Regions from separate parts of the Mus musculus genome. Here regions 2, 3 and 4 are each reported to be linked to region 1. The links are microRNA targets in miRTarBase. Many come from high-throughput screens and were not tested one by one. Region 1 holds a microRNA gene; each other region holds the end of a gene's coding sequence.
The links. The annotated mature microRNA mmu-miR-1971 reads GUAAAGGCUGGGCUGAGA and lies in region 1 at 2,972-2,989, shown strand. An mRNA with a match to its seed (bases 2 to 7 or 8) in the 3' UTR can be bound and repressed. Matches are read on the target gene's strand: a 7mer-m8 pairs with bases 2 to 8, a 7mer-A1 pairs with bases 2 to 7 and ends in A, and an 8mer does both.

Region 1 (5,362 bases):
TTTTAATTGAATATTTAGGAAGCGATAATATTATATTATCATTGGCAAACAGACAAAATCTATTTGAACCCAAGAATCTACAAATAAGTTTAGAACTATCCACAATACCATTTGATGGCTCATTTATATGTATTAAAAATGATATCAGAGGCTAAGGATGGAATAAAGGTACAAGACTGAAAAGCTGACCTGAAATACATAGTTTTCAAGAAAGTTAGGAAGCTGACCTCTGCTGTGGTAAATCTCCAACTCAAAAAAAGCCCAGGCAATGAAAACACAACTCAATTAATATGATTACATGCTGTGTTGTGTGCCTACATTGGGCAGATCTGCCACTACACTACCATCTTCCACATCTATGAGACCCCTTAGAACTTGTGGTTTCTCCAGGCCATGAGCTTCTGCTCTACTTGCCTTCTACCTCCTCCTCCATCCTCCTATCTCTCTCTCCCTTTCTCCCAAAACCTTCAGCTCCACCTTCCCCTCTTTCTCCGTCCAATCATCAGCTCTCCTTTATTTTACAAATTAAGGTGGGAAGCAGGTTTACAGGAAATGAGTGCCGACTCATTCCTTATTTGCAGCCCCGCACTGGAGAAAGGAATTAACATAAAATATAATAAGCCCCAGGCTATCCGCAACAGACCTCTAACTAAAGAATGAAGTCTGAGCATAGCGTTTTCCATCCTCCCCTTCCCTCTTCCTCAAATTATAGCAGCACTAAATACAAATAGAAATAACAATGGAAAAGTGAGAAAAATTAGAAATACTGAATTTAAGGAAGATACAATAAAGCTTTATGATACAGTAGCTAGTAAACATAAAAACAAGAGTATTCTCATATAGTCAAGGAATCTGCCAATGTTCTTCCCATATGAAAATATTGCTCAGGGAAATGGTTCAGTAAAGGCAGGAAGGAGACTGAGAAATGAGGAGCAGACGTACAGACACAAGGTGGATAATTAGAAGTTCATTGAAAGCAGTGCCCTTAAAAGCTCTCTACAGCAGCCACAGAAGGGAGATCACACAAGGTAAAGCGTTCATGGTGGCTCTGTGCTGACTTCTTCACGAAGAGAAGACATTGCACAAAACACAGGTGTTTAAATAGCCGGGTAAAGACATGTACATCTCTTTTTAACACGAGGAAGTTTTTATGGAGAAGAAAAGCCTGAGAAGAATGTTAAAACTCAAATTAAGAAAATCAGATGGATATTAAGAAAACAAATAACCCAATTAAAAGTGGGGTACAGACCTAAACATGGATTTCTCAACAGAGGAAGTTCAAATGACCGAGAGACCCTTAAAGAAATCCTCAACGTCTTTTGCCATCAGGGAAATGCAAATCAAAACTACTTTGAGATTCCATCTAACACTTGCCAGAATGGCTAAGATCAATAAAACAAGTGACAGCCATTCTGGAGAGCATGTGGAGTAAGAGAACACTCCTCCATTGCTGGTGGGAGTGCAAACTTGTACAGCCACTATAGAAATCTGGTTGGTAGTTCCTGTGGAAGACGGGAATCAGTCTACCTCAAGATTCAGCTGTACCACTCTTGGGCATTTACCTACAGAATGCTTCATCCTATCACAAAGACACTCGTTCAACAATGTTCATTGCTGCTCTATACATAATAGCTAGAAACTGGAAACAACCTAGATGTTCCTCAACAGAAGAGTGGATAAAAATATGTGGTTCAGCTTATATTACTCAGCCATTTAAAAAAAAATTACACCATGGAATTTGCAGGCAAATAGATGAAAATAGAAAATAAATCAACCTGAGTGAAGTATCCCAGACTCAGAAAAAGTATTCACTTATATGTGTATTCACTTATATGTGGGTATTAGCTGTTAAGTCAGGTGACTCGAAGCATGAAGACCCAATGTAAGTGTAGGTGGCACCTTCTGGTGGCAGTCCAGATAAAGGACATGGAGAAAGGAAACTTTGCTCTTTGCCTGCTGGTCTTCACTCTCACTCTCTCACTGGAAAGTCATTTATCCCCTGTCACTGTGGAATTCCCCACCAATACTAATACCACATACATATACATGTGAACACACACAATGCAACACACAAACATACACATGTGTACACACACATGTACTCATACACACATACACACGTATACATACACACACACTCACACACAAATGAACCCATCCACTTGTATACAGACTTTGGATTATATCCTTGGAGGACAAGCTGAGTATGTTGTCTATGTGGGAAAGAATAAGGATGCAGAGAAACCAAGAAGGGCAGTTTCTATGGTCTGTTCAGCAGCTACTCCCTATTTTATACATTTCTTTTCAGGCATATTCAAGTCATGTTCACGAATTAGGATACCTCAGGGACTTATACCCAGCTTAGGCAATGCATGTTGATCCAGTTAAGCCAATGTGTCAACTATTCTCTCTTTGTAGTTAGCTTAAGGATGGAACAGACTGCAATCCTGGCCAATGAGGACCAAGGGGAAATCTTCCTAATAAAACTTCTAGAAAAACAAAAAAGCCCTCATTCTATAAACGTGACAAAGTCCCATTTGATCCTCTCCATCCTTGCATGCTGTTTTATAAAGCATGGTTTCTAAAACTCCAATAGTTGGGTTGTAACTATGAGAGAAAGGCATGAGAATTACAGAAAATTATGCCCAAAGGCTAAGCATTCTTTAGATTCAAAATAACTGACAGAGCATACTTATTATGTGACATAATAAACCCATTATTGTATAAGGGACTTTCAGCTGGTATCAAAAGACAGAATTATAAAACATTTAGTTATAAATCTAATTGGTTTTTATTTGTAATTCATGGATCTGAGGCAGCCCCCATTCTACCAAACAGAATGAAAAACTCCTGCTACACAATGGCAGAAGAGGGGTTACAAAGAAATAGGACATGGGAGATAAACCAAGAGGTTGGCATCATGTCACTTCAGGTTAGATGTACATGCTCTTGATGTACAGGGCATCATTTGGTAAAGGCTGGGCTGAGAGGACATCTTTGTTCCATGGACCCAGTAGATAGGCAGCTTCTGCTTCCAGGAACAACTTGTCTGTTTTTCAGTCTATCTACTTCCTAAAATTTCAATTTGCTCACATAGCACTTAAGAGAAGAGCTCTCATTTTGTTTTTGCTTTTTGTTTGTTCGTCTGTCTGTTTGTTTGTTTTCTGTTTTGTTGGGATCTGGTGCAGGAACTCAGCTGGAAATAATAGGCTTCCATGATTTTTTGTGTGTTTGTTTGTTTGTGTGTTTGTTTCAAGACAGGGTCTCACTATGTAGCTCTGACTGTTGGAACTCACTAGGTAGACCAGGTCGGTATTGAACTTAGAGATCTGCTTGCTTCTGCCTCCAGAGTGCTTGGATTAAAGGTGTGCACCACTATGTCTAGCTCTTCCATAATGTTTACCACAAGGTATTCAAATACCTGCAGCCAGTGGTGAGCTAATGAAAAAGCAATGTTGTCAATGTTATTTTATTTATTTACTTATTCATTTATTTTGTGCATAAATGTGCATGTTCACATGCAGAGGCCAAAGACCCACCATGGGTGTTCCTAAGGTGCTAAACACCTTTTGCATTTTTTGAGACAGAGTCATCTTCTAGCCTAGAACTTGTCAAATAGACTACCCTGTCTATCTGGCCTGCGAGCCTCAGGAATTTGTCTCCATTCAGTCAGTGCTGGAATTAGAAGTGGTATTGCTAACTTGGCTATTCTTTACTTGAATTCTGGGTATTGAGATTTCAGAAAACCCTTTACTGACTGAGCTATGCTTTGAGCCCTGTTTGTTCCTTTCAATAATTAGAGTCATCATATAAAAAGATTTTAAAAGATTTATTTATTTCATATATGTGCATATACTGTCACTGACTTCAGACACATCAGAAGGTGATATTGGATGCCCATTACAGATGGCTGTGAGCCACCATGTGGTTCCTGGGAATTAAACTCAGGACCTCTGGAAGAGCAGTCAGTGCTCTTAACCACCAAGCCATCTCTCCAGCCCAGTACTCAGTACTTATATGGCCCAATATAAACATTGTGACCTTTGGCTCAGAATTTGAAGCTTTGGTACATCATTTTCAGGCAGTTTCAAGCCCAAGACTAATGAGTTCTTGTGTGTATCCATTTACTGCTGTTTGTTTCTCTGCCTCCACCATAACAAACACAGCTGACCCGATGGCAATGCAGAGACATGCAAGATCCTGTCTCTTTCATGCCTTCTTGATGTACAGAGAATCATTAGTGTTGACATTCAAAGCAAACTTTGGACAGAGGTTGGTCCATCTGCCTTTCCAGATGATCTCAAGCTGTCTCCTGTACATGTGAGCAGCATAGCCAGGGGCAGTAGAGCTTCATGAACATCTGGCTACCTGATGGAAAAATCAGTTCCAGGTACCAAAATTCAGGGAGCCTCAACCTCCTAGAACAATGCGTAGGATTTGCATATAACCTCCGCACAGCTTCATATACAGTTTAAATTGTCTCTAGCTTGCAGTGAATGTACACTCTAAATATCTGTTAGCCTGCACTCTAGGGAGGGGCATGATAATGTCAATAAGTGTGTCCCTGAGCAGTGTAAACTCTAACTCCTTTGAATAATGCCTGACTTATGGTTGATTGAATCTGAAGATAGAGATCCTGTGGGTATGGGGGGTAAACTAGGTTCCAGAAGCAAAACCAATAACTGCTGCCCATCTTGCATGCCACTTGAGCATCTCTGGGTGTTTGTTATGCAACACGTTTTTGACAAATCTGACACACACACATGTATCCTGCTCTCACCTGTTCTAATTTCCCTCCTGTTAGGTACCCAGTAGAATTATTTTTCTCAGTCTCTTTAACTTAAGCACATTACAAGAAATAAAACAAATAGATTCAATATGGGGTTTTCCTGAGTGGACATGCTTAGTTTAATTACCTATGTAAGACAAGGAACTCATCACCTGTCCAAGGAATGATGGTTGCTAGGATATAATAAAGGGAGCCACCACTGGCCTTGGTCCCCAAGTGAACAAGACAGGTAGAAACTTCCTGGGGAAACTGGGCCAATTCACTATGTAATGATGCTGTGTGTGTTAAGAGGTCACTTGGAGCACTGCTCATTAGCACAGTACAATGAAGCCAGTTTCTAAAGATCTCAGATCCACTGGAAAGATCGTGTTGAAGTTTGGACCTGAAGGTGAAGGGGTAATCTGTGTCCTATCCAGGAGGAAAATGTTCTAGGTAGAGAGAAGAACAGATGCAAAGGCCCTGGGGCAGGTATATACCCGGTGTGTCCCAGAAGACCTAACCAGTGATGTGAGAGCAGGAGAAGCAGGAAATGATGGCAGAATCAAAAGGTCTTGCCATTCATTCTAGAGAGTT
Region 2 (5,362 bases), not on the chromosome of region 1:
TACCTCAGGACTCAGATAAGAAGGACACACCACCATTCCCAATGTTTACCCAGCTTTTCATCCAAACTCAGGTCCTTCTGCTAACTCAGCAAAGGCTTTACCCACGGAGTTATCTCTGAAGCCCTTGAATGCATATCTAAAACCGTATAAATCCCAGCAAGATGACAATCTTTATTGCTGGTTTACAAGTGAGAAGAAAAAAAAAAAAGGCTGAGGGAAGTTAAGTACGTCATGTAAGATCTCAGGATGAACTAGGACCTGGAGCTATCTGGCTCCAAGACTATAATTCTTCCTTCTCTTGTAGGATTCATAATCTCCCTGAGCTGTTCCTTCAGGTCTCCTCTAGTTGGCTCTCCTACACAGGTTAAGAAGAGTGTTTGCATTGATTCCTTGAACATGACACATTGGAATGAAGGCAAAAACACAACCCTGGCCAGAGAGGAAGCGCAGCACTGGCATAGCATAGTTAAGCAGACAAGAGAGCTTCAACTGGGGGCCCTGGAATTAGGGCAGGTGTGAGAGGAAGCCTGGCAAGGCTGAGCTAAGGCTTGAAGCCCCAGGGGACCCTGAAGGGCACCAGGCCCCTGTCATGTAGTCACAGCTCCCCATACAGAGAATCGTGGCCATCAACCCCATGGGGCAGCACCCCTAAGCCCTTCTTCATGTAGATGAGGCATCTCTGGCCAAGCCAATAGGAAGCACTTGCTGTCAGACCCACCCCACCCCAGAACTGCACATAAGATCCTATGCAGAAGGAATAAAGGTGTGTGAGAATGACTCCATCATCTGAGAGCATCTGTCACAAGAGCTGTAACACTGCCTGGGAAGAGAACGCTCTCCTGGAAGCTTTCGCCAGCAGAAGCTCCCCTGCACTCAGCTCTCTCACTGGCCAGCCCTCTGCCAACTCAGCTTGGCTTTGCTTGGCTCAGCACAAACACTGCAATGCTTTGGAGCAACAGCTGCTGCTGGGGCAGCAGCAGCAGCAACAGCAGGGGGGGGGTGTGGGGTGTGGAGGGGGGTTGGCAGAAGCACTTGCGGCTCCCAACTTGTGCCCTTTCCCCTTTGCTTGAACCCTCCCACCAGGCCAGCCCAGAGATCTCTGGTACACAGACCGACAGTCACCTACTCCAAAATCCCCTAATGTGCTTTGAATCATGCCTGCAAGCTCACTTGGTTGTCTCTCTATCTTGGAGACCTCAGCATGCTGAACTTCTGCAGAATAAAACGTTCTTTGCATTTACATACTATTTGAGTCTGGGGTGTAATTTTTTCGCCAAATCATGGGCCCTTACAAAATGAGTATGAAGAAAGCTGTTAGCAGTGTGTGCCCTGTGCTTAATATTACACATATTAAGTAAATGCAGTAAGTATACATTAATTTTGTCCTCATCCAAGGTGGACCACATGGCTTTTGTGGAAATCTATCTAGTGCAGCTTAGCCTTAGACACATAGCTAAGTGGATATGGCCATTTTCTTGCACAGATCTCTGAGAACAGAGATGCTGGCCTTCCATTTGGTCTAAGCTGCTTGTTTCTTCTAGTCAGCCCTAATTCTGAGGTACCATTCTGAAGGTACCTTACTGTCAGCTGATATAGCACACAGTCTCACATGGACACAACCCCAGATGTGAGCCCAGAATATGGTTTCATGTCTCTTCCACTAGGCTTTCCCCAGCAAAACAAGGAACTCCCGAGAGCACTGTGGGGCTCATGAGGCTTTCTTCACAGGCCACGGGCCTCCATCATCTCAGCTTCTCATCACTGAAATCTTACTTCAAGAAAATAATCCACCAAGGCAGTTCCAAACTTCTGCATGTCAGAATCCTTTGGTGATCATGAAAAAACAACCACCCTAACTGCCATTTCCAGGCCTGATCCAAATATCTAATTAATATATGTCTCTAGAATGACAGCTGGGAATCTATGTGAGTAACAGTTGTTCCCTCTGTGGTATTCAGAAACCAGAAGAGAGCTGTGGAGTGGGACTAAGGAAGATAATAGGGCTGAACATGAGGTCAGTGTAATAATGTACATATGAGCTCTTCATAATGAGGCTTATGTTGTTCATTGACAAAAATTAATTAAATACATGAAAAACATTTTTTTGTTTTGTTTTGTTCTGTTCTATTTTTATTTTATTTTATTTTTTTTAAGACAAGGTTTCTTTATATAGCCCTGTTTGTCCTAGAATTTGCTTTGTAGACTAGACTAGCCTCGATTTCAGAGATCTGCCTGCCTCTGCCTCCTGATTGCTGGGATCAAAGGTCTGCGGCACTACTGGCTAGATTGGTTGTTGTTTGTTTTTGAGACAGGTCTCTCTATAACCCTGGCTGTCCTGTAACTCACTGTCTAGTCCAGGCTGGCCTCGAACTCATGGAGATCCACCTGACTCTGCCTCCTAAGAGCTGGGATTAAAGGTATACATCTCTGTACCCAGCTAAAAACATTTTTTTTTTTTGAGACAGGGTCTCACTAGCTAGCTTTTTCGGGCCTGGAGTTCCCTAGGTAGACCAGGCTAGCCTTAAACTCAGACATCCACCTATCTTTGCCTCCTGAGTGCTAGCATTAAAGGTGTGCACTATTCTGACTGGCAAAAACAAAACAAAAAAAAATTTTTTTAAGTGAACAAAACTCAACCCCCTTCCATTTGTGTACTTGAGACATTTAACTCCACTTTTAGAACTGGCTTGTCTCTGGGAAAGATCTCTTTATCCAGGGGCTTATGAGACCCCACCCTTTACCTCTGAAGCATGGGCTATCAGTCGATCCTCTGAGAGGAGGGATGTGGTCTTTACTTGGGTGTCCTCTGCTGAGCCCATCACACCCCACAGATGGTCCTGGCAAATCTTTCTGGGACACTAAACGAAACATCCAGGAACACAAGCGAGATTGGTGGAGGGTGGGGGGGATCGGGCAGAGGTAGTAGAGATGTGTGTGTGTGTGTGGAGGGGTGAGTGTTCAGAATGCAAAGTATATGTGTATGAAACCATAAAAAATAAACAGGGGCTGGAGAGATGGCTCATTGATTAAGAGCACCTGCTGCTCTTGCAGAGACCCTGAGCTCAGTTCCCAGTGCCTATAAGGCGGCTCATAACCACCTGTAACTCCCATCCCAAGGGATTTCATGTCCTCTTCCGGTCTCCACAGGCACCCATGTGGTGCACAGACATACATTCTGGCAGCACATTCATCTATGTAAAATAAAACATAAATTTTTTAAAAGTGGATACTTGATAGTAATAAAATCTCTTTGTCAGCGAAACGTTTTTGCATCCCTGATTTGTTTGTTGAGACATTTCAGGATGTGTGCCAAGCTGGCCTTGAATTCATGATCCTCCTGCCTCAGACTCCTGAGGGTTGAGATTACCGGCATGTGCCCTCATACATGGAAAGAAGATGCAGGAGAGGAAGTTTGCGCTCTCTTCCTTGCTGGCCTCGTGTCTAAGTTTCCTGCGTGTGCACCATTTGGTGCCTGATGCTCTCAGAGGCCAGAAGACAGAGGGTATGGCCCACCCCCACCGCCACCACCCTCACCCCAAACCAGTGTTACAGATGTTTATAAGCTGCCATGAGAGGGCTCGGAATGGAACTCGAGTCTTCTGCAAGAACAGCCTGTTCTCTTAACCACTGAGCCACCCTTTCACACACTACAGCCATGCCTTTGAGAACTCGTGACACAAATCATACTCATGCTATTTTAAAATTACTTTTCTGGCATCAGACAGACAAACATTTGTTCTAGGTACAACAGATTGATGTTATATATCCACCGTTTTCTTCTCTCGGATCGCGGAAGGAAGCCATTACAATGTGCGCAGAGCATAGAGAACAGACTGCGAGATCCATGAACCCTGAAAGGCTGTGTGTGCATGTCAGCCTGTCACAGTCTGAGACTCTTTGCCCTTGGCTGCTGCTCCGCCTGACGTCTTTGCTCACTCCGAGAGCGTGATGACAGTCTTTCCAGCCACAGACCTACGCTTCTGCTTTCCCAAAGGCTCTGGCAGATGTCTGCTCACATGGCGCTCTCTGACTCAGTGAAGTCTGCAGGCAGCTCAGCTTCCCCGGGAACCTGGGCCGAAGGCGTTTGTTACCACACAGTTGCCCTAGCAGCAGCTGCTCTAGACTCAAGCTTAAAGGCCTCAACAAAGGCCTGTCTTGGGGGCGAATGCTGTCCTCTGGAGGATGGCTTGACTGAGGGTGTGCAATTCCATACTTCTGCGGAGAGGATGCTGTAGGGAAGCTTTTGAGAGACCCCTGGCCAGGAAGTATTAAAGTTTGTGATGGAGCATAATGGTGGATGCCCGTAACCCGACACGTTGGGAGGTTGAGGCAGAAGGACTGAGACTTCAAGGCCAGCCTGGGCTACGTGGCTTTGGGATAGGCGACATTCTGTGGTGTGTCTGGATATGAAGCCCCCAAACAAGTTTCTGCTAAGCGTGGCTTTTATGCATCCAGGCTGTGACAGTGTGCTGACTCAGTCTGGCAACCTTCCAGGGGACTTTCTGGGCCTTTCCTCTGTGGAGTCCCCTCCTCTCCACAGCTCATCTTGAACTTCTTTGCAGCCAACGACACACTTGACCTTGTCCTCTCCAAACAGTCTGAGTTCCTCCTTTAAAGCGCAAAGGAGCTTTGCCTATCCTACGGTACATTGTGTTCTAATAGCGAGTTTCCATGGCTGCTCACTAACAACACAGGGACCCTGGAAGGGAAGTGAGGAGAATTTTCAAAACAGAGGACAAAATCTTGCTGTGGAATCAGAAAGAATTAATGCTCTCTGCTCACCTTGTGGAGTATCTGTATTTACCTGGGGCTCGCTGTATCGTTCCTCTTCCCTCTGTAAATCACTAAAGGGACAGGGAAGAAAGGGACAGGGAAGAGGACACAGAGGCTGTGTCACAAACTCAGACATTGCTTAAGTGCTGAAAATTTGTTACTGTCAATATTCAGAAAGCTGTTTTTTTATAGCACTTCACAGCAAGCAAAGAGGAGCGTGAGCTACCAAACTGTTCAAAGCGACCAGAAGTTTCTGACAAACCAGCGTGACTAAACCCCTGCTTCACGAAGTGAATCCTCTAAATATCCCTGGGCTCACAGTACTGATTGGATGAGGGATATTTCTTTTACCCTCAGGCCAACTTGCTGTGCCCTCCACTCCCCCCCCCAAAAAAAAAAACCTCCACTATTTCATTCATTCAGACATTTGCACAAGGTGAACATGAACCTTCAACTGCTAAAGATGTCGTGGGGAAGAAAGTCTCCAAAGCTCCACAGGATGAGCAGGTGACACTGAAGCTGGCTGGGTACCAAAGGAGAAGGATACCACACAGGGCACACAGACCCCACACCTGTCACTTTCTCCTCT
Region 3 (5,362 bases), not on the chromosome of region 1:
AGAGAAAGACAGAATAAAAAACAATAAATTTTATTCCTGTGAGAGGCAATGAGTGAAAAATAACTAGGGCTATGAGGTCTCTGAGTGAGAATTAGGGAAAGCAAGAAGAATGGTCATAAATCAGTGCTACCTTACTCCAGCTGAGATCCATGCTAACCACAGGGACATGCTCTTGTGTGCTCGCTCGCTCTTTCTGTCTCTCTGACTACACACACAGACACACACAGACACACAGACACACAGACACACAGACACACAGACACACACACACACACACACACACACACACACACACACACACACACACCAGAGCTACAGAAAGCGTTATCTGGACTAAGCAAGGGCTGGGGAAATTGGCAGTTAACTATGACTGTGCAGGCTGGCGTTGAAGACACTACTACAAAGATTCTCAGCTTGGCCACACTGAGTTCAACAGGAATTTCTCACTCTCATCTAGAGCATCCAAAGAACTGTGGAGGCAAGGTGAAAAGCTGGATACACTATGAATGGAGACCGAAGACATTTTTATGATAAAAGCTGAAGGAATCAAGTTATTCTCAGAAAGATAAGTATCACTTTCTCTTTTATTTGTAGTTTTAAGCTTTTATATATAGATACATAAAATCATGTTTGTGTATGTAACATGATGTAGGAACAAAACTACTGAGGAGTACAAGGCGACTAACAGGAAGAAAAGGAGAGAATTAGAGTGTAAGAGTTTGTGCTGGAAGTACATTATATGCTTGTCCAAATGCCATGAGGATTTGAGTATTTTATTGTCTTAACAGTAAGTAACAGTTTGTAAGAAACACAAAATTTAAACCTCACATTACTAACTGATGTATATATTTATGAGAATGCTAGAGTTGGGAACTGATCTCTTGGCTCCTTTCATTTGATCTAACAACTCAATAACGTTTGAAATATCCTCTCTTTTCAACTGTTCAGTTCAAACCCATTGACAGCTGAACTTTCATGATTTCATTATGTTAGACAAAGATTGTAAATTAGTACCTTATAATGACTTCAGATAAATTTTTATTATCTACACAGGAAAGTAGTGAAGAAGATATACAAACCATTTGATGATAAAAGGGGCATAAGCAGATATCTTCGAGGTCTTGGTGTACGAATGGCAATTCCTACCTGCTCTGTTTCATCAGTTCATGCTGAGCAGTAAAAATCAGCCAAGACACAAAGAAATCACACCAGTATTTACTAGTTGTACCAATTTAAGTTACTTTATAAACCCAGATGCCATGACTCACATCTGTAATCCCAGCTTGCAGGGGATGTAGGTGGAGTGAGTTCCAGGCCAACCAGAGCTATAGTTCCAGAGCAGCATTAGCTACAGTAAGACCATTTCAACACCCCCCCCCCATTAAGAAAAAGCCATCATAAATGCACATATACTGGAGTGGTGCACAAAATATGCAGTTGCGTGGTTACCTTGGACAGAGACCACATGGCTAGAGAACGTCCATCAGGTATTACCTACAATTCCATATTCTTTATATAAATATGAGGCTGGGTTTTTTCCCTTTCTTCGGGTAACCTTAGACAAAGAATTAGCAGACACAGTTTTTTTTCTTTCTTTCTCTCATTCTCACTGCTTCAGAAGTCTATAAGCACTTGACTTTAGCTTGGCTGAAGGTTTCACTGCAATGATTTAAAAAAAAAAAAGAATGGACCAAGAAAAAAAATGTGAAATTGGTTAATTTTAAGTATACATATTTTTAAATTCCTTAACTTTCTGCATAGATTGAAACCATAAAAACCTCAAAGACAAACTAATGGACCTGGACGGGAGGATGAGTTACATCTTCCTTTCTTTCTTCTGTATGGGGAGGTCAGTGTATGTATGTATGTATGTATGTATGTATGTATGTATGTATGTATGTATGTATGTATGTATGGATGTGTGTGTGAAAAGATTCTCTCTCTCTTACAGACACAGACACACATTATTTTTTGAGGACTCATCCATATCCTAGGCTAGCCTCTAACTGGCTATGTACTCGAGCATAGCCTCGAATTTATGATCCTCCTGCCTCCACCTTTAATTTATTAATATCCTATATTTTCTTTTCATATCAAATACTTAAATATCATTACCCTTATTTCCAGGAGGATTTGTTAAAAGATTAGCATAGTAACCAGTTAATAAATGTCCTTCAATTAACACATTATTCACCAAAGCAACTCCACAATATCATTTAAAATCTACACACAACTTATTCAAAGTAATTCTTCATTAAAAATATAAACATATGCTGACCTCATAGTGAACCACTGATGTTAATTCAGTTGAGGCTGTACCATATGTTACAGAAAAAAAAAAGCATGCACAGTTCCATCTAATTAAAATGGTAGGATTTCATTGGACAAAATAATTGTTTATTTGCTGCAAGACATTATGCACCAACAATCATTTGTCATTTAATAAAGCAGTAAAAATGATAGATTGAAAACAAAAACCCAGCAATTGGGCCTTGTAGGTGAGAACAAAAGAGAGAAAACAAACCAAAAAAACAAAACAAAACAAAAAACCAAACCTGTAATGTCAGAGTTACTAAGTTTTCCTTGTAGTTGTTTGTTTAGAAATTTCTTTTTAAAAGGCAAGAAAAATGGAAATAGCATGATTATAAAATTACTATGCTAGTGTGTGCAAGTTGTCAAATATGACCATATTTAACTAAGAAACACTGCCTCCTCCCAAAGGGAATGTGTTCCTGAGATGCCTGAGGCCCCCACTGGCTCTCATCAGAATGCAGGAGTTTTCAAATAACTGCTTCAAGTCCCATGAAGACCTAAGTAATGGACCTCCTGGTATCAGTTTTACCCACATGTAACTCCTGACACAATTACATGTGCCTGGAAAAACAGGTATACACATCCACCCACTGAAGATATAAGCCAATGTGTTTAATGTTCTTGGTTTCTCCAGTACTTAACTATGAGTACTAATGCCCTCTACAGTCACCCTCCAGTCACATGGCTGGCCAGGTGTCACAACTCATTATCACTGCTCAGCATCATCAGAATCCAAGAGAATCTCATACTATGTATTGCTGCCTTAGGAGACGATCAAGCTTCAAAGTGCAGTTTCTATGAGATGCTGGTCACCTTTCCACTACTATAAAGTCAAAAACTCATCAGCCAGGGGCTATCTGTATTGACTTTCAGAGCTTCAAAAAGAAAACCACAATAATAACTTATGGGAAATCAGGGTTTTATAATACATTTGGACATGAACAAAATACATTAAAAGGTAAACTCTTTTAAAGCACTCTATATACACTTGGCCATAAGCAAAAACAAAACCTGATACAGAGTTTGAAAAATAAAAGTCACATTATTTTAAAAATAAAATTTTAAAAGTTTGGAATATCTTTATTAACCAGAACTATCAGAATTTCTGCCTACTTTTCAATACCTAACTTTATATCCTCACAAAACAAGACTTGAATGTAAAGATGAGCTTGTCTTCCCAATCAGTTATCAGTAAGACATTATGCTTCTTTCAAGGGCTTATCAAAATGCGACCAGCTGATCTACCCAGTCTCAGGTTGCTGGCAAGAGATGAAGGCTTGCCTCCTTTAGAAACCAGCCTGTTCTGTCTATATTGACAGCAACACTCTAGTACCTTCTTAAGGCTAGTTTCCAATTCCCTAAATAACTGATTTGATCATGTTTGATTTTTCTTGACTCGAGGTTTAAATAAAATAGTTGTAAAAATTCACAAGGCAGTAGTATTCTGAGGTCCATATTTCATCCACGATCTGAAAATACATCCAGACATTAAGAAAAACATTATATTGATGTGATATAATTGACTATTGGTGACTAACAGGAACAAAGCTGCTCTCTTATTCTGGAGCTGAATGAAGCCTGGCTATTATATTTAGCATTAAATTAATAAAGTGTGCATTCTTTCCCTATAGATAGTGCTGTATGAATGTCCTTTTCAGGTTTCTTTATTAATATTCTAAGTGCAGTAAAATACTTCTAAAGATGACATAAAATAGTTTATGCTGTGTATGACTTTGAGTTTAGATGTGTTCTTGTCTTTGCAAACTAAAAATCAGGTATCTTTTGCCAAAAGTATAAAGAAAGAATGAACCTAGGGGGCGAGAGATCAACAATATGACTGACTTTTTATGTTCTTTTTTTTTTTTTTAAAGGACTCCTGATTTTACATGTGAAAATGCAAGAGTATCAACACCTCACAAAAATGTTTGAATTAAGGACTGAGAACAGATTATAACATGGAGGAAAGTTTCCTCTTAATAAACATTGAAGATATTCATCCCTAAGTAAAATAATAATGAAATATAATTCAAAAGGACAGATGTTATAAATTCTTCTGGGGAAATTTATGGATTCTATCCTTAGATTCTAGCACAGGTGAACATGAATCCTAAGTAGAAAGAAGTCACATCCAGCACCACATCAGAATTACAGTTTATTAGCAGAATAAAGTAGAAAATGGTCAGGTAAACAAATAATACACAACAAAGTGCACTAGAAATAAAACTGAGTAAGGCAAGATGGATAAGGTTCACAATATTGGGAAAGACACAAACTGGGAAAAGCAACTGTAAACATGGACATTTGATCACCAAATCCAAACAGTCACACAAGCCGTCTTTTGTGACTAAACAGAATTAAAGGACCTGTGTCAGGTGGCCTTGCTGGTTTCTCCATCCTGATTAGCTGCTGGTTCTAGAATCTCATTCATTCTTAAAACCTCTTCATAGAGCAAATAGTTCTGCAGACTTCTGGGAAGTGGCAACTGATGGATGAAAATGTCAGAGTGAAGGTGCTCTGCTTTTAGACTGGCCCGAATTTCCAAACGACAAAGATGGGTTAGGCTTGGAACAGAGGCTGGAGAAACAAACAAACATAATTTTCACTAACAGTGGACTGAATAAATGGTTGGAAAAGTAATAGCTCTTGTTGTGAAAGCATGACGACCTGAGTTTGAACTTCAGAAACAATGGAAAAGCCACAGTGGCGGCCAGCACCTCTTACCCAGACAAAAACAGGAGCATCAGTGTAGCTTGCTGGCTACCTCCAGATCCAATGAGAGACCCTGTATCAAGGCAAGTGATATACTAACATCCTCCTGTGGCCCCCAACATGTACACACTATCATGAATACTTACAAAACATACACATACACACAAGCAATACATTAAGATAAGCATCCAGCCCATTTTATACAATAAAAAAGAAACACTACGTTGCTTAGCTCATTTTGAAAGAAGACTACTGGTTCAGCATGACTACATGAAACGTGTATGTACTTTTTCCACTTGCTTGATCTCACTTCAATTGGTCACATACTCAAGTCAGCATC
Region 4 (5,362 bases), not on the chromosome of region 1:
CTTTTATTTGGAACTATAAACCTGGAAGGGATAACCTACGCACTATTTATTCCTTTGTACCTTAAAACGCAAAGGTACAAGGTACACAACATAATGAAATAATCACAGATCCCCTCACAAACAGCACATTTACAGGACTAGTGTGGAATCATCAATGGTGACATACAAAAAGGAGCATGCCATTCCCCATCACAGGACATGTACACACCTGGGAGGAGCCCACCTCTTCCTACAGAGGGCTTTTGGAACAGATGGAAATCTGTTAGGTCAGGCTGGTAGAGAGTGGACAGGGCTTCAAAAAAGTGTAGCACTGGACCATCAGCTGCCAGCCGCCTGTCTCAGGCATCTCCACTTAGTTGCAGACAGTAGTCATTTCGATGTTCCTTGGACACTGTGATGCCTGTCGGCTTCCAATTTTATCATGCACATGTTCAGCTTTGTGCCAACAAAGAATTGTTTTGAAATGGAAAGGAAGTGTTCCCTGAGAGTAAGAAAGTAAGTTCACTTTTGGAATGCTTTTTTCTTTTTCTTTTTGTTTTAACATATTCAAAAGCCAAGTCTTTGTTTTCCTTTAAGCAGGTAACCTGGGCAGACTTCTACTGGGATATCTGCAGCACCACACTTTTGGTTTTAAAGCCTGGCTTGTTGGATATCTACCCCAAACTGGTGTCATTACGGAACAAAGTCCAAGCTATCCCTGCCATTTCTGCCTGGATACTAAAGAGGCCACAGACAAAACTCTAGATGAATCAGGACCCATCATCAGATGAGAACTCCATTAGCTGGCTAGAGGATCCACATACTTCTCACCAATAGGACTGTAACTTTGTAGTACTCTGCTTGCTGTGTATAGCAACTCAAGGGGTGTTGCAGTTTTGTCTTTATCTGCAGGCACTTAGTTTCCAATCTTTTATTTTTTCAAAACTTTACACTTTATAATTGCAGGGAAATAGTTCACAATATATGTAGTTGTGCATATCAAGATGTATGGAAGCTTTAAACAACACTAGTTTCCTGGCTAGGGTATCAGTCAACACAGTATCTTAACTATGAGTAAGCATAGTTAACTATGAAATACAGATTTTGCAGCTAGCTCTTCAATCAGCAAATTCCTACACAGAAACTAATGGTCATTATAATGATCACTAACTACTGCATGTTATTCAGGTATACACCAAAGTGTATAAGCTACTTCACAAAAATACACATCTGTCTGACATGTCACAAAATGGGTAATAAAGAAGAAACTCATCAAGATTAAAGGACAGCCAAGAAAAGTGATGTTGAAGTTTAATTGAAATTCCACAAAATGGAGTAACAAAAAGTTACTGAGTTCAGCATTGTTGCAATTCAGAAGGCTGTAGAGACAAGGAAAGGAGCTGTGACATAGAAAGTTCGATACCCCAGAGACAAGAGACAGAGGGTTACAATAATCTTTCACATGAGAAAAACAAAAGCAGGCTGGAGAGATGGCTCAGCAATTAGCACTGACTGCTCTTCCAGAGGTTCTGAGTTCAATTCCCAGCAAACCACATGGTGGTTCACAACTATCTGTAATGGGATCTGATCTTCTGGTGTATCTGAAGAGAACGACAGTGTACTCACATACATACAATAAAGAAATCTAGCCGAGCGGTGGTGGCGCGCGCCTTTAATCCCAGCACTTGGGAAGCAGAGGCAGGCGGATTTCTGAGTTCGAGGCCAGCCTGGTCTACAAACTGAGTTCCAGGACAGCCAGAGCTACACAGAGAAACCATCTCGGAAAACCAAAACAATAGAAAACCAAAACAATAAAGAAATCTTAAAAAACAAACAAACAAACAAACAAAAAACAGTAGACTAAGAAGACTGGGAGAACATGTGTGCAGAACATTCACCTGGTAAAGATTTGTTTAAAATATAAAAGAACTGTGAAAATTCAATAGTAAAAAAAAATAAATACCCAGATTGAAATGTTAGCTGGAAGATACACAGATGGCCATGAGCCTGTGAGGAGGCAGCAATACAGTGGCACTAGGGAATTATAATAGCAGTGCTGACTAGAACAGTAAAATCTCAAGACCAAATAAACACTGGAGAAACACTGAAGTTATGGGACCTGGGGACAGGAATGCAAAAGATGGCACTGAGAGAACTAGTTTCTCAAAAATTAAAATGTCCCCTTCTGTGGGGCCCGTCAGTCTCACATTGTGTATTTACTCAATGAGCATGTCCACACTAAGCTTGAACATATATCTTGGATGCTGCTTCACATACAGCTGCTAAAACTTTAAAAACCTCAAAGATGGCCTTTAGCAGGAAATGCAGAACAATCCTTGGTGCGTACACATCAGGGCTAGTAAGCCACGAACAGTACATGGGTGAGCCAGTGCCACACACAGCTAAGTGAAAGGAGCCAACACAAAAAGGCTCCAACTATGCAAAAGAAGAGGATGAGAAGCTGCCCAAGCCAGTGGTGACATGGGCAAGACGGGAGGCAGATGGGCAGTCCGGGCAGTCTGTTCTGTGGGATGCTGTCAGAGAGAATGAGTACACGTCTTTACATTTATAAACTTACTCAGAATGCAGAACACATGCAAACTGTAGCGTATGTAGCACATGTTAGCAACAGAGGAGACTGTAGGTGTGGGGACAGCAGGAAATGGGACTGCTCCTAGTGTTGCTGTGAACTGAAAAAAACAAACAGTCTGCGATAATTAGTTTTTATTTGCTGACAAAGTGTAATAGATACACAACAGCTTACAGGGAGGGAAGATTTGTGTGGCTCCACTCATTGGCTCCACTGGGTTGGAACTGTGGAGCAGTATGTGCCAAAATGACTGTTTACTTACTCATGGTGGCTGAGAAACAGAGTGGAAAGCACCTCTCTACACAATCTTCTAAACAACAGGCCAGTGAGCTGGCTCCATGGATAAAGGCATTTGGCGCCAAACCCAGAAGGCCTAAGATCAGTCTCTGGCACCTACATAATGGAAGCAAAACACTGACTTTCACCTACTGTCTGTCCTCTGCCCTCCCCTTAAGCACTGTGGCATTTGCACTTATACTCATTTTATTTTTTTTTTTTAAATGCAACCATTTTATTTTTGTTTATAAAGGGTCTCCTAATTAGCAATATTACTCCCCAGGACTGTTTTGGACTGTTTTCTCACTTGGTATCTGAAGGCTGACTGGGATGCACAATGTGGCCCAGGCCCAAGCTGGCACTGCACTCACTGTAATCTCGTTTCCATGCTGCCGAACCTGGATCCCTATTTTAAACTATATTGATGGAATGCACACTTTGCTTTGTATGTTAGCTTCATTAATGTTAATAGTGTGTGTGGTATGTTGCAAAATGTATGGAAATACTAATAAAGATGATCTTGTGCTTTATGTGAGATTCAGAAGAACATATTGCTAAAAGGCAAAAAATAAAAATAAAAAAGGAGATTGTAGGGAGAGAGAAAGAAATACATGTCCAGATAGGTGTGCTCTTATTTAACATCTCTTCTTTTTTTAGAACATTTTCTCTGATTTAACAGGGCTGGGGGGGGGGGGAACAGAGGACAAAATTTTGTATGTTAAACATAAAATGCATGAACTTGATCTTTTAAATAAAATTTTAACATTGGTGGCTGTTAAAATAAAAAAGAATCTCGTTGCATGGGTAGACATTGTGTGATTAAAACAATCAATAGGAAAAAGTCTTTAGGGAAACATACAAACAATGCTTTTAATGAAGGTGGAGATGACCCTGATGCGCAGGTACTTCCCTCTGTATTACCTTCCATAAAAGATTATCCTTTTTGTTTTGTTTTGTTTTTTATTTGGTTTTTCAAGACAGGGTTTCCCTGTATAGCCCTGGCTGTCCTGGAACTCACTTTGTTGCTAGGCTGGCCTCGAACTCAGAAATCCGCCTGCCTCTGCCTCCCAAGTGCTGGGATTAAAGGCATGTACCTTCACTGCCTGGCTAAAAGAGTATCTTTAATGGAAACAGAATTTAGGAAAAGTAATAAACACAATTCCTATGGGAAAAATGGAAACTCAAAATAGTATTACATATTTCTATGATCAGTGTAACATCAGCATGCTCTATAGGGCAGTATTTAACATAGCCACAATGTTAAGTCAGACAGCCACTGAAGAAGGTAGATCCCTTCTTTACAGGCTGCACAAATAGAAACCCAATCTTCTGATCCACCCACACCTTGACTCTATTGGAACTCCTATCGGCGAGTCACCTGTCCAAGACAAGACACATAAGGTGTCTTATTACACATATATGACTTATACTAAAAAAATAAAACCTATTTCATGATGGGTGGTGGACATCTTTAATCCCAGCACTTGGAAGGCAGAGACCAGCCTAGTCAACAGAGTTCCAAGACAGCTAGGTCTATGCCAAGAAATCCTGTTTTATAAAGGAGAAAATAAAAGCCTACCAATGGACTGTGATGTTTAATGACACTGGCCCAATGAAAGGACAATTGAGGATTCATTTTATGTACCAAATCCCTATCCATTGCCAAGCAATATCTTAAACATAAGATGGTCCTGTTTCTGTTCAATATTACATACTTCTCTGGGGAAGGAGAACGAGGGCTAAAAACCATTACAAAGGGTGTGAAATACAACTTAATGATCACAAATATTTTTATTAAACCCAAGACATAATAAAATATTACAGGGAGAATCCAACTACATTTCATTAGAAAAAATTCAGATATAACAACACCACAACCAATGAGCCTACTGTGGGAGACACATTTCACACAGAAAAGTTAAGGGAAATTCACTGTGGGTTTAAAAGGTACAATTTCCAACAACTTGACTAAGCGACCTGGGTACTGTGATCACAAGGAGGTAGCATTAACACCTGCAAATTCCTGGCAGCCCCGTAGTGGGGAGATAAATTTGATACAGTCATATATCTTCAATATTAAATCTACTGAGTCAGGAGTTCAGAGTCTCAGATACCTGAAAAAAAAATAGCACTGTAGGATTGTGTCACCCATCTAAGTGTTTACCTAGCACCTCAGCACTGGGGGTGTCTTGAAAAGTATGAGCTACAATAATTAACAAATCTCTCATTTATAAATAAGTTTATTTATAATGATATTTACATTATAAAACAAAGCACATAAAACTCACAAGTTATACAAAGAATCTGATGTATAATAAAAACAGCAATATAGACTGACAGGCAAAATTTAAATGAAAAGTTAATAAAGACTGAAATACCAAATAGACAATTTTACTTCTAAATTTCACTTTGTCACCCACACTGAACTGGAATTGAACAATGGCTTCTCTTCAGGTGGTTCTGTATTGGAAATCCTGGGAACTGGTAAATTATATTTTGTTAAGAATTTAAAGTTAA

Region 2: the mRNA of Fndc7 is a reported target of mmu-miR-1971. Seed matches in the 3' UTR shown: 8mer at 4,131-4,138, 7mer-A1 at 2,566-2,572 and 7mer-A1 at 2,412-2,418.
Region 3: the mRNA of Asb3 is a reported target of mmu-miR-1971. Seed matches in the 3' UTR shown: 7mer-A1 at 4,668-4,674 and 7mer-A1 at 4,179-4,185.
Region 4: the mRNA of Hpgds is a reported target of mmu-miR-1971. Seed matches in the 3' UTR shown: 8mer at 1,648-1,655 and 7mer-m8 at 2,288-2,294.

The regions. Positions count from the first base shown.
Region 1 is chr14:78,189,078-78,194,439 of GRCm38, reverse strand. Mir1971 (microRNA 1971) reads left to right here and starts at 2,962; the gene lies at 2,962-3,067.
Region 2 is chr3:108,851,567-108,856,928 of GRCm38, forward strand. Fndc7 (fibronectin type III domain containing 7) reads right to left here. Exons shown (of 13, transcript NM_177091.5): 12 at 4,783-4,844; 13 at 2,112-4,699. The coding sequence ends at 4,801. Among named protein-coding and RNA genes, the nearest start is that of Stxbp3, 14 kb to the left of the region's middle.
Region 3 is chr11:31,100,562-31,105,923 of GRCm38, reverse strand. Asb3 (ankyrin repeat and SOCS box-containing 3) reads right to left here. Exons shown (of 10, transcript NM_023906.3): 10 at 3,220-4,887. The coding sequence ends at 4,682. Among named protein-coding and RNA genes, the nearest start is that of Gm40822, 67 kb to the left of the region's middle.
Region 4 is chr6:65,115,306-65,120,667 of GRCm38, reverse strand. Hpgds (hematopoietic prostaglandin D synthase) reads left to right here. Exons shown (of 6, transcript NM_019455.4): 6 at 580-3,375. The coding sequence ends at 744. Smarcad1 (SWI/SNF-related, matrix-associated actin-dependent regulator of chromatin, subfamily a, containing DEAD/H box 1) reads right to left here. Exons shown (of 24, transcript NM_001355250.1): 24 at 4,619-5,362. Among named protein-coding and RNA genes, the nearest start is that of Hpgds, 27 kb to the left of the region's middle.